Oryzias latipes: one gene and its partners. The protein of the gene in region 3 purifies or fractionates together with the protein of the main gene of each other region. This does not show direct contact. Links are inferred from orthologs where the notes say so. Each region holds a gene or a part of one and is shown on either strand. Other genes may lie near its edges. The genes, in order: stx18, srpra and srprb.

What was found.
Region 1: the proteins of srprb (region 3) and stx18 purify together in Homo sapiens (affinity purification with mass spectrometry; 3 studies listed by BioGRID and IntAct, counting the BioPlex papers as one, with this or other methods). This does not show direct contact. The link is inferred for Oryzias latipes from reciprocal best matches to the Homo sapiens genes SRPRB and STX18.
Region 2: the proteins of srprb (region 3) and srpra purify together in Homo sapiens (affinity purification with mass spectrometry; 6 studies listed by BioGRID and IntAct, counting the BioPlex papers as one, with this or other methods). This does not show direct contact. The link is inferred for Oryzias latipes from reciprocal best matches to the Homo sapiens genes SRPRB and SRPRA.

What each region holds. Positions count from the first base shown.
Region 1 is NC_019863.2:30,760,973-30,764,725, reverse strand, and holds the start of stx18 (syntaxin-18), read right to left. Parts: upstream 2,735-3,753; 5' UTR 2,719-2,734; coding exon 2,527-2,718; intron 1-2,526. Other genes in the region: uncharacterized protein LOC101155681, read left to right, coding at 3,053-3,341, 3,429-3,561. UniProt on the Homo sapiens protein: Syntaxin that may be involved in targeting and fusion of Golgi-derived retrograde transport vesicles with the ER.
Region 2 is NC_019871.2:28,761,721-28,765,383, reverse strand, and holds the start of srpra (signal recognition particle receptor subunit alpha), read left to right. Parts: upstream 1-761; 5' UTR 762-888; intron 889-990; 5' UTR 991-1,005; coding exon 1,006-1,128; intron 1,129-1,357; coding exon 1,358-1,441; intron 1,442-1,545; coding exon 1,546-1,709; intron 1,710-3,249; coding exon 3,250-3,410; intron 3,411-3,490; coding exon 3,491-3,647; intron 3,648-3,663. UniProt on the Homo sapiens protein: Component of the signal recognition particle (SRP) complex receptor (SR). Ensures, in conjunction with the SRP complex, the correct targeting of the nascent secretory proteins to the endoplasmic reticulum membrane system.
Region 3 is NC_019871.2:13,914,269-13,918,021, reverse strand, and holds the start of srprb (signal recognition particle receptor subunit beta), read right to left. Parts: upstream 2,555-3,753; 5' UTR 2,508-2,554; coding exon 2,342-2,507; intron 2,037-2,341; coding exon 1,942-2,036; intron 1,862-1,941; coding exon 1,784-1,861; intron 1,702-1,783; coding exon 1,619-1,701; intron 447-1,618; coding exon 310-446; intron 1-309. UniProt on the Homo sapiens protein: Component of the signal recognition particle (SRP) complex receptor (SR). Ensures, in conjunction with the SRP complex, the correct targeting of the nascent secretory proteins to the endoplasmic reticulum membrane system.

The DNA of each region.
Region 1 (3,753 bases), on a different chromosome or scaffold from region 3:
TCAGGCTGATGGTTGGTGACATTTAAGATTTTACTCCCCCGTGGGAAATGTGAAAGTGGTTCTTCAAGGTTTTATTTGAAGACATCTGCTTAAGTCAGATAAATAACTGCTGGGGCAGAGCAAAGGCCGTGTTGCCCTGTGAAAAACGGGTGCACACTGATGTCTTCTAAACTCTTCACCAAAAACTAGTCTTTATCGGAATATTAATCTATAGCTGGAAATTTGGAGAAAAGTTTATGTTCAGCATGCTGTCAACTTCCTCCGCCTTCTGTGTTCTTTACTGACCTACACCAAGTCTAGAACATCCAGAATTTGGATTCAAAGACCCATAACTCTGAAGATGGTTATCACACCGAACGCAATTATAATGGGGGCGACATACAATGTTAAGCCAATGTACAGACTTGATCTGAGGTCCGGCAGCGTGATTGTAGCGTCAGGCGCAGCGAGGCAGACCGGCAGCAGTGCGTTTTGAGTGTCGCAGCACGATTTGGGTGTTGTGGCGCATCCAGAGTAAAAAAAAAAATCTGACTTTTGGCGAGGTTGAGGTGTCACTTCACCCATTTGATGTGTTAAGGGGTGGAGTAAAAATCCACTGTGGAGGATCGGTCCAAGCGGCCTTGTCCTGATCTACCATCCATTTGCTTATCACGCTACATCGCTTTTGGGGCTGCAGGGTTGCCAGAGCACATTCTGGTTATTGTTGGGCTAAGGTGAGGCACACCCTGGACAGGTTGCCAGTCTGTTGCAGGGCCCATGGGGCTGAAGTGACCCCACCCACTGCACCGACCCCCAGGAGGCTGACGGGGGGGCAGATGAGAGAGCAGCCGCAGCTGCTCAGGCCTTCTGAAATTTATGATATTTTATTTATTTGCTTTAAGAAAATAATAGCGCTCTTGCCTCACAGCAAGAAGTCCTGGTTCAAGTCCCGGCTGGGGGACCAGAAACAGAACACCAATGGGGGACCTTTCTGTGTAGAGTTTGCATGTTCTCCCCGTGCATGTGTGGGTTTTCTCCGGGGACTCTGGCTTCCTCCCGCCATCTAAAAACATGCTTAATTGGTCCCTCCAAATTGTCCATAGGTGTGAACGTGCGTGTGCATGGGTGAGTGGTTGAGGCCCTGTGACAGACTGGCGACCTGTCCAGGGTGTCCTCTGCCTTCGGCCGCAAGACGCCGGGATAGGCTCTGGCAGCCCCGTGACCCCGAAAGGGATCAAACAGATTAGAAGATGAATGAATGCATTGAGAAAATAATTTTTAATAAATTCCGTCTCAGATTTTTTCGTAAGGGAAAGTCAAAATTAGCTCTTTTTTATGACTCTTTTAAAGCTGAAGTAGACAAGCTTGATATTCAACGATGTCGACTGTTAACTGTCCACATGGGAAAAGCAGCAGACATGCAGGTAGCGAAAGGGAGAAGATTCTTCTTCTTCTTCTGCGTATTTACTGTTGTCTACCACCTGTAATAGGAAGAGGCTCAGTGTGCAAAGTGAAAGCTGTGAAAATCCCGCAAATCTTGCTCCAGACGTTTTGTTTTCACAGCTTTGTTCCTGTAAATGTCCGTCTTGGAGTCCGAACACAAACCGCAAATATTATTGTCTCCTTCGAAATCATGTTTACAACGGTTGGTACTTCCGTGGCGGACGCCACCCTCATGTCACTACTAAATCCGAGTCTCAGATTGGTTGCAGGACTGCGATTAAGTGTAAAATTGTTTAACCAGTTGAATTTCCAGTAGTGAGCATGGTGACCGAATTGCTTTGAAAATTCAGGTCACTATATAGTTTTGCAGTAGTTAGGGGTTAGGGTGGGAATTCGGACACAAACACTGTGTTGGTGCGTTCATTGCAGGAAATTATTTTATTGTTGCAGGTGTTAATGATTTCAAGCTCCCATAAGGAAACAAATGTAAACATTTATTTGTTATTTGAATGCAACAAAATGACTAATCGTCCTCTGAAACATTAGATTTTCCACTTTTATCAATCATCATAACAGGCATACAGGTACACAGATATGTATTTAAAATTAATTACATGTATATAATTGATGAAGATTTCAAATTAATATTATTTTATATGAAATCTGTATCTTAGCTATAGTATTTTTTACAGGGTAGTTAGTCTGTTAATAACATCAATCAATCGCTCAAGATTTTTTTTTCAACTACGTTCATCTAAAAAACGTGTAGTCTTTTAGGGAAAAACTAGTGCTACATTCATTAATGCTCACATTTCCAGTAATTGCACAGCAAAGTCTGTAGATTAAAAAAAATTAGGTCAAGTTTATGTTTTTTATGAGGTATTAATTTAAAAGCAGCAACTTTTTTAAAATTAAACAGTTGGGGTACTAAACGACTTAAAAACAGCCAACAATGGTTGTACTTATACGTTTTTAAAAGAAAAAGTAGTGGTGTGTACATTTGTCATATAAAAGGCAATGTTTGTAGAGAAGTTTTATCGTTTCAAATGAGCTAGCATCATCATCATCATCATCATGCTATCGCTAGCTAAGAGGAGCACTCACCACTTCTTTCGCTCTCTGGGTGAAGCCGCTCTTCGTTCTGCTTCTTTTGAAAATCTCATCTTTCGTCGAGTCGAACCCGATCCCTATCGCCTTGTTTCTGGTCTTCACTGTCTTCACGCTGGCTTTAAAAAGCAGAGTGATGTCCACAGCCATTTCTGTGCACGCGCCGCTGTCAACAAGGCGACACGTCATCGACCGGTGACGTCATCAACATGAGACGCCGCAGCGGATTTTTCCCTCAAAGGGGAAAAAGGAAAAGCCTTAAACAGGTTTGCACCGATTAGGATTTGATTTCCCATTAAATCAACACGGAACTTAACCAAAACTCAACATTTGACTGTTTCACTTTGAATTAGGTTGTATATAATGGAAAAACAATAACAGAAAAGGACTAATCTGAAATTATAGGGTTTTAGAAGCGTTAAGGGGAATATCATTTTGAGAAAAATCTAAGGGTTTTCATGAGTTTCTATTTTGTTTAATACGTTCTATTAATGGTTGTTTTATGTGTTTTCCTCGCAGACAAATGCCTCCACAGCCAGTGAAGGGCTCCACCAGCAGAAAGAGAAGACCCAACTGGACTGACCCGGAATGCCTTCTTCTGGCTCAGTTAATACAGAAAAAGCAGAACATAGTCAGAGGAAAGCAAAGCACCGGAGTATCGGTTCAAGACAAGAGGCATGCCTGGAAGGAGATAGTCCAAGCTATTAATGATGCTTTTCCACAGGTCCAGCGCACAGTTTCCGACTGCAACAAAAAGTGGGAAAACCTCCTTGCGAAGGCAAGGGAGGAGATAAAACGACAGAGTAACAAAGGTCAGGAAACATGCATTTTCTTTTTTAAGTTTAGTAACATTGTGCATTTCTGACTAATAGCAAACTTTTGTTTTTTTAATGTTGCAGAAGAAGAGATGTTATTTGAGAAACTTAGTGCCGTGACACAGATAGTTATTTCTGTGTTGAACATCTCGGAGAAGAAGATGCAGGAACAGAAGAAACTTCGTGACGCAGATCCAGCGGAAAATCCAGAAAACAGGCAACACTTTTTCCCCCCCCTATTTCTTTAAGGATGAAAATCATGTTTGTGCGAGTTTTTTACATGTTCTTGTGGTATTTTTTTCATGATGGAGGACATACAGTGGGGCAAAAAAAAAAAGTATTCAGTCAGCCACCAATTGTGCAAGTTCTCCTACTTAGAAAGATGAGAGATGCATCCACTTGGAGATAA
Region 2 (3,663 bases), about 15 Mb from region 3:
TCAAAATCTCTACAAAAATTACAAAGAATATTGTCACACACTTTTTATGAGGGAAAATAACTTTAGGTTACAAAAGGGAAAGTGAAATGAAAATTTGTAAAGCCCGAGCAGATATCGACGCTACGTAGTTTGTCCAAGTGGGGTTACCGTAGTGTGATGTTACCTTCAGGCGAAAGGACCCGAAAGGAAGTTCCAGGCAGAACGGTTATGGTACCTACAACGGATTGAGCCATCTGGTGGGCCGGATACAGCCCGTGGGCCGTATGTTTGACACCCCTGCTTTAAGGGCTCCCTGCTTTAAGGGTACCGTACTAAACATGCAAAGTTGCTTTATTGATTTGGCTCCTTTTAAGAACAGTGAAACCATGGATCCAAATAAAATAATAGTACAAAAATGTTGGTTTCAAACACTAAACTAAACATTGTGCCATCATTGTTTGAAAAATTTTCACCCATAAACAAATTAAATATACACAAAATCTTTAAATATTTGCTTAGACATTCCTAAAAGGCAATGTTAAGGAGGCTTTGGGTTTTCAAATTTAGAAGAATAATGTAATGGTATATACACAATAAATACAAAAAATCTGTTGTATTACACATATATAAGTATGTGCTTGTTTGTTTGTTCAATATCCCCATTAGCCATCAAGTGGCCCTAGAGAAACGCGTGGTTCTTTGAGGCACAGATTTATTTATTCTCCACACTCCCTCGTTTACTTTTGTGGTTATTCAATCTGCGCAGGCGCGTGATTTGGTGGAGGAAGGAGGGAGCAGGAAAAAGGCGTCACTTCCGGCTGTAGCTCCTGACGTGTCCAAAACAGTTATTGCACCGGCGTGTGGTGCGGTGTCGTGGGATATTTATTATTCGTTTTCTTATTTTATCTGGTAAGTTTTGACCGGTATTCTAGGGCAGCTGCGTGCGGGAACCGTTATCTACGGCGGGTTTTTCAAACGTTGTCTCCTCTTGTCTGTGTGTTTTTAATCCAGAAACGTGGTGTCAAGATGCTGGATTTCTTCACCATCTTCAGCAAAGGGGGGATAGTGTTGTGGTGTTTTCAGGGTGCCGGGGTCAAAGAGTCTTTCACGGGGCCGGTCAACGCGTTGATCCGCTCGGTGATCCTCCAGGTGAGTGGCCCGTCAGGTTATTCCCGTCAGAGGTACTCATTTTGGTTTATTTAGTCTCTGAAAGCTAATGCTAGGCTAGCGCTAGCTAGCTTATTGCGTAACGCTAGTAAACAAAACCACTAATTTTGGGTGAGGGCGGATTGCCAAACTGTTGGAGTTGTTGTATTGTCTGCCAGAGTGACTGAACGTGTTCGGTTGTGGTTGACGCGTGTTTTCATGATGTTTGAAGGAGCGAAGTGGGAGCAACTCCTTCACTCATGAGAGGCAAAGTCTGAAATACAAGCTGGACAATGAATTTGAGTTGATCTTTGTGGTAAGTATCGGATTCAAACAGGAACATGCTGAGAAATGCGGCCAAACGCAGGTGTTGTACAGTCATGAATGAACCAACAATCTGTGTTTATTTTCTCTCTCCAGGTGGGTTTTCAAAATATCCTCACGCTGACTTATGTGGACAAGTTTATAGATGATGTTCAGCTTCGTTTTCGGGATCGCTACAAGAATGAGCTGGTGCAGAAGGGAGCTCTGATGCTTCTCAACAACAGCTTTGAGTTTGAGGACGACTTCCAGAGGATTTTAAGGTAAAGATAAATGTCTGGTGGGTCAAGTTCAGCTGTTTCATTCCCTGGCTGATACTTGGCGGATGTTCGCCGCAGATTCTCAGAAATCCTGCAATCACGTGACCTGGATGAATAAGAAACTGCACAGGGATGGATATTAATGTTCCACACGTCCACTTGTAGATTTAAACCAGCTATAAGTTGGTTTTTGTCGCTGGTGGAACTGTAGTTCTCAGGAGGGCTGTAAAGACTCAGTTCAATAACGATTCAAGTCATCATAATTTGTGGTTGTTGATCCGAATAATAGTCGATTATGGTTCATTTTGAATGATGCGATTCACTGACCTAAAAAGGATCTAGAACATCTTTATCTTCATCCAGTGTGACTCAGAGAGAAATACCTGCTACTGAAGAGTAAAAGGGAAGTTTTCCATATTCCTTGGATTTCTTATGATAATCAATTGTAAATTAAATATGCGTACAAACAGACAAGTAAACAAATGGTAAATGGCGTGTACTTTTATAGCGCTGTTTTACCTACAAGGCCCAAAGTGCTTTATAGTCACTCACACATTCACACACTGGTGGCGGCTGATCATGGGTCGACCGCCCTACCGGCGTGGACATAGAACAGGACCAAGAATAAATGTCCAATCCGTTCACGTTTTAGTTTCCTAAAGTTCCGCCCACTGTTGTTTTTCCACATCCAAAGAATCCAAAGGGAGCATTAGTAGAACATTCTAAATTGTAAATGGCGTTTACTTGTCTACGACACATGTGGGCAAGGCGGGAATCGAACCCGTTGTCCGCCCCTACCGCTGCACCACGACCGCCTACATCCCGTATGGTCACATGACTTTGTTGAACTCATAGTGTTTCCACGCATTGGACTGGAGTGATGGAAGTAACTTTTCTGCTCTAAAAAGCACGTTGGAATAGAAAGAAACCCGAACTTACCACATTTTTAATTTCCAATCTTTTTTTCTTTTTTTTTTAAAGACAACAGTGCACATTTTGTGTCTTTGTTGTCCATCTTTTCACATTTCATGTTCAACTTGTTTCAGAATGGCGTCATCGTATCTACCAGCTGTTGTGTTGCTTCCACAGAAAAGTCCACAAATGCTCACATCTTTCTTTTCCCTGTGCCACTTCCCTTTCATCCATTATGTTTCCAAAACACCGGAGTCCAGGAAAATATTTTAAAGTCAAACGCACCACAGAGTAGATGTAATCTCAAATGTATGTAGAAAGGGGAGCTTTTATCTCAAAGAATCTGCTCTGATTAACTAGTTTGAGTCTTGGAGGAATCTTTTTATGATATACTTTAACATAATGATCACAGATGCCCCAATATCTCCTTTTGCACTTCTTTACACGAGGCAACATTTCCATCAGCCTGTAGCGTTTAGAACAGGAATCCTCCGGTCAAACTTACTTTTCCTTCGGCAGCCATTGTTGCAATTCAAGGAGCATTTTAAAACCGTCCTGTCTCAATAAAAGCTCAGAAGGATGGATCCCGCTGGGATCTTCTACTGAACTTTCCTCAACTCTTCACCACAAGGGAGGCGGAGGAGACCAGCAGGACTCGGAGCACCACCTACATGCGGGCCTTTCAGGAGTCTGAGAAATCCAAAAAAACTGTGAAGTCCATGATTGAGACGAAAGGTGGAGACAAAGGCAAGGAGCAGGGCGGCAAGAAGAGTAAAAGTTCCAAAAAAGAGCGTAAGTTTCACTTCATAGTACTGGCTTTTTTCTTCTTTCTTTTCTTCTAACACACCCTTTTTTCTCTCTTTTGAATCCAGCTCCTGCCCCCGAGCCAGCCAAAGTGGAGAAACCTTCCCCCCCGGCCCAAAAGGCGGTTCAGAACGGGAACCAGGGTTTGACACCGGAGGAGATCATACAGAAGAAGAGGGAGGAATTCATCCGCAAACACACAGCAGGACCTACTGAAAAACCCAGGTGATGACACAACCCC
Region 3 (3,753 bases):
GTTCAACACAAGGCCACCTACTTTTATTGAAGCATCTGATTGGTCAGTTTATAATTTGAATAACTAGTGCTACAGCAAAAATATTAAACATTGTTTTAGGATTAGCAAAAACACGTTAATAAAGGGTAGCAGAGCAAGAATGGTTATTTTGATAAGTAATAGCTGTTAATTTCTCAATAGAAGTCTATAGGATTTCGGCTTTTTGGGACCAGCGGGTACTTTCTATTTGGAGCACAAGCAGCAACTCAGTCCAGTTCTCACATACAGTCAATGGCTTTTACGCAATAAAAAACAAAAAGGATGTTAAACCTTGTTTGTTGCACGCCACCAGGAGAGTTGGGGTGTTTCGGCAGATCACGCTATCGGTCAGCAGGACGTACAGAAACTCGGCTACGTCTCTGACTTCTTTCTGGAAAATGGCGCTGTCCACCACAAACACGATAGCTCTGAGGATAGAAAGGAGGAGTCATTCCAAGTGTCACCATGACGCAAATGCATGTGCTATGAATGCCCAAACTGTAATCATAGAGACAAAATCCCTTTTCTGATTTGGTTCAAAGGCACTTGAGCTGAGTTTCAAACAAGAACTTTACAGTAAAAGGGAAGAACACAAAATCTAAAAGCAGTGCTGGAACAGATCACATTTCTACGGGTTTCGGCTTCACTTCTATTAATTCACACAGATTTTGGAATTTCTGAACACACAAAGCATCAAAAAGATTAGCATCATTTTATCTTAAATACATCCCAGTTTCCATATATTCCAGACAGGAATCTTCATTCTAAATCAGCAAGATTAGAGGTTAATCTCAAAAGTTTCACAATTAGAATCGGTGGCAGAGCCTTAAGACATCATGTTAGTCCAAGAGTTTGGGAGGCAGACGCTGTGTTGAAAACGTACTCGGCCCTGTCTGCACTCTCATCTGCACGTATGTATGTTTAAGGCCCATTCCAATTATCTTCTGATCTATTGTAAACTTCTTCCTTGTGTTTTTTTTTTATTAGGATTATGCTGAAGGAGCAGCAGGAGTTACTTAGAAATTGTGGGCTGGGGCCATTGGCACAGAGTAAGCATGGCCTGACTTCCCATGATCCCTTTCTTTATACGCTCTCCCGCTATCTTAAAACACCAAGCTAACATTAGTGGTGCATCAAAAAAAATATATTTTTTCATCTGCTCCTGATTCACAACGATTTAAATAAAGAAATACTCAGAAATGTAGTTTAGTAGTTTTTTTTTTTAAATGTCCTCCATCAGGAGAAAAATAAATCTACAAGAACATGTTAAAACCCCAATTTTTATTGGAGTGGGTCTTTAATCAGTTGTGGTATATGGTCCCATCAACCAAATCTTCCGCTGGAGGTTTCTAACAATGTTTTGATTTAGAAGTTTTCCTCTCCATACTTGTTCATTTGCGTGCTCAGAAGGGGGGATTACATCAAAAAAATCCTTTAATCTCATAGCCACCTATTATCCTTCAATCTGTCCGAACTGTAATGATCTGGACTGAAGTGAATTATAAGAATAACGGCTTTTATAACTGTTTGTTTACCCTATTAAGTCAACCCTAAGTGTGTTTGACATGAAACAATCCAGCCATTGCGTTTAGCATCTCACCTGGCTGCTGACTTGAACTTCTCCAGGTACTGAGCCCGGAGACTGTCATGACCTGGCAGGTCTATCAGAGTCCAAGTTGTGCCCTGGAATCAGAAGACGACACAATCCGTTGAGAAACCAGCCCACATGGCTTGATATGTTGTTGTTTTGATGTCTTAACCTCACCTTATCACTTTTGGCTTTATAAGGGGCACTGCTGTCAGTGATGGAGGTCTGTGTTCGCTTGAACTTCCCTGATACTAGCTGTGAAAACAGAAAAGCCACCATCAAAACAGTCCCCTCAGGATCACAGCAGGAGCCAGCGGGTCAGAGGTCAAACCCACCCGACTGAACAGGAGGGTCTTCCCGGAGTCACACAGTCCGACCAGCAGCACGGCGCTCCGGACGGTTTTGCTGGTGAGGAAGTACTTCAGAAAAACTGAAGACAAAAAGCAGAGAGTTTTAATGTTTGTTAGTCTGCAAAGTTTGAATGGCTTCCTGTGAGGCGCAACAGACAGCTGCTAGCTTTAGCTTAGCAGCTAGCTTTCTCCATTTTCAATGCGGCTACAACCGTAAAAGCACAATTAAAATTGTTCATAAACACACATTTGAATGCTAGAACCTGACCCCGCGCAGAAACAAACCCCTCAAACTCCCAACAAACTACTTCCATTGAGCCACATGCCTGGCCTAGTAGCATGCTAAGCTAATCGGTTAACGGTAAGAGACTGACGCAAACTTTACCGCAGGTGATGATGATCGCCGCTAAGGCCACGACGACGCTGATCAGAAAAACTGGGTCTTGCTCTTCAACCTGTTTGCGGACATACTCGATGAATTGTTTAACTGTGTTTTCTAGCATCTTCGCGTCCTCTTTTCCTCCCATGTCTCCACCGACGCTGCGTTCCATCAGCCCCGGATCATCTGAAACGGGACACGTTTCCTTAGCCTGTGTTACGCAACGAACACCAGAGGGCGCTGCTCAGCAGCACTCAGGAAAACAGAAGAAAACTGGAGGTTTTTTAGATACACAATATTAAAGAATTTATTTATCATTTCCACCATAGACCTATGTATTTTTGGTTTGTTTGAACTAAATAAAATATTTATTTCCCCCCTAATTTATCAGCTGTTGATCATCCTTATTTGTTTTTATTGTGATTCTTTTTTGATGAGTTTATTTCATGAGTTGTGTTGTTGTTGCTTGTTTTTGTATACCTCCTAGGGAAATCGTTATCTTTTTTTTTACTTTATGGAATATATATGTTTTTTTATTTTATATATATATATATATATATATATATATATATATATATATATATATATATATATATATATATATATATATATATATATATATATATATATATGTGTGTGTGTGTGTGTGTGTGTGTGTGTGTGTGTGTGTGTGTGTGTGTGTGTGTGTGTGTGTGTGTATGTATGTCTTTTTAAACTCAAAATTCAATAAAAATCAACATGTGATTTTAGAAACACATGTTCCCTGTCAATACAATTGATTAAGGGCTTGTCCCTCAAACTTTGGTCCAATTAATCAAAATCATTTTTTGGATAACGAATTCTGATAGCATTTCACTTTAAATACAGCTTGATGCTGGTTTTCAGAAATTCCCCCATAAAGTAATAGAAACAAGATTAGATGGTTAAAAAAGGTCTTGGTTAAAAAAGGACCTTTTTTAACCATCTAATCTTGTTTCTATTACTTTATGGGGGAATTTCTGAAAACCAGCATCAAGCTGTATTTAAAGTGAAATGCTATCAGAATTCGTTATTGCATATAAACACATGGTTGTGAACACATTTTCAGTTTATTCTTATACCGAAGCAGTTCTTGTTTTTGCCCTTTCCAGTTTTTTCAAACCAAAAGTTTACAATGCCCTGTTTAAACTTTTGGTATGCTGCAAAACTTTAAAACAGTACTCTGGGGTTGTGTGCTTCCGCGGTATTGTTTGCGGTTTAAAAAAATGAAATGCATTAAACTTTTCGGAGCATGAACTGCTTCCTGACATGTTTTTCACATTATTTTATATAAAGACTGAACGTTTGTGGCTCTCAATGGAGACCAGATGCGCTTTTTACGCACTCCGTCTAACCCTGGCAGTCAGCGCGCTTTTTACGCACACGGGATATTTGACTCC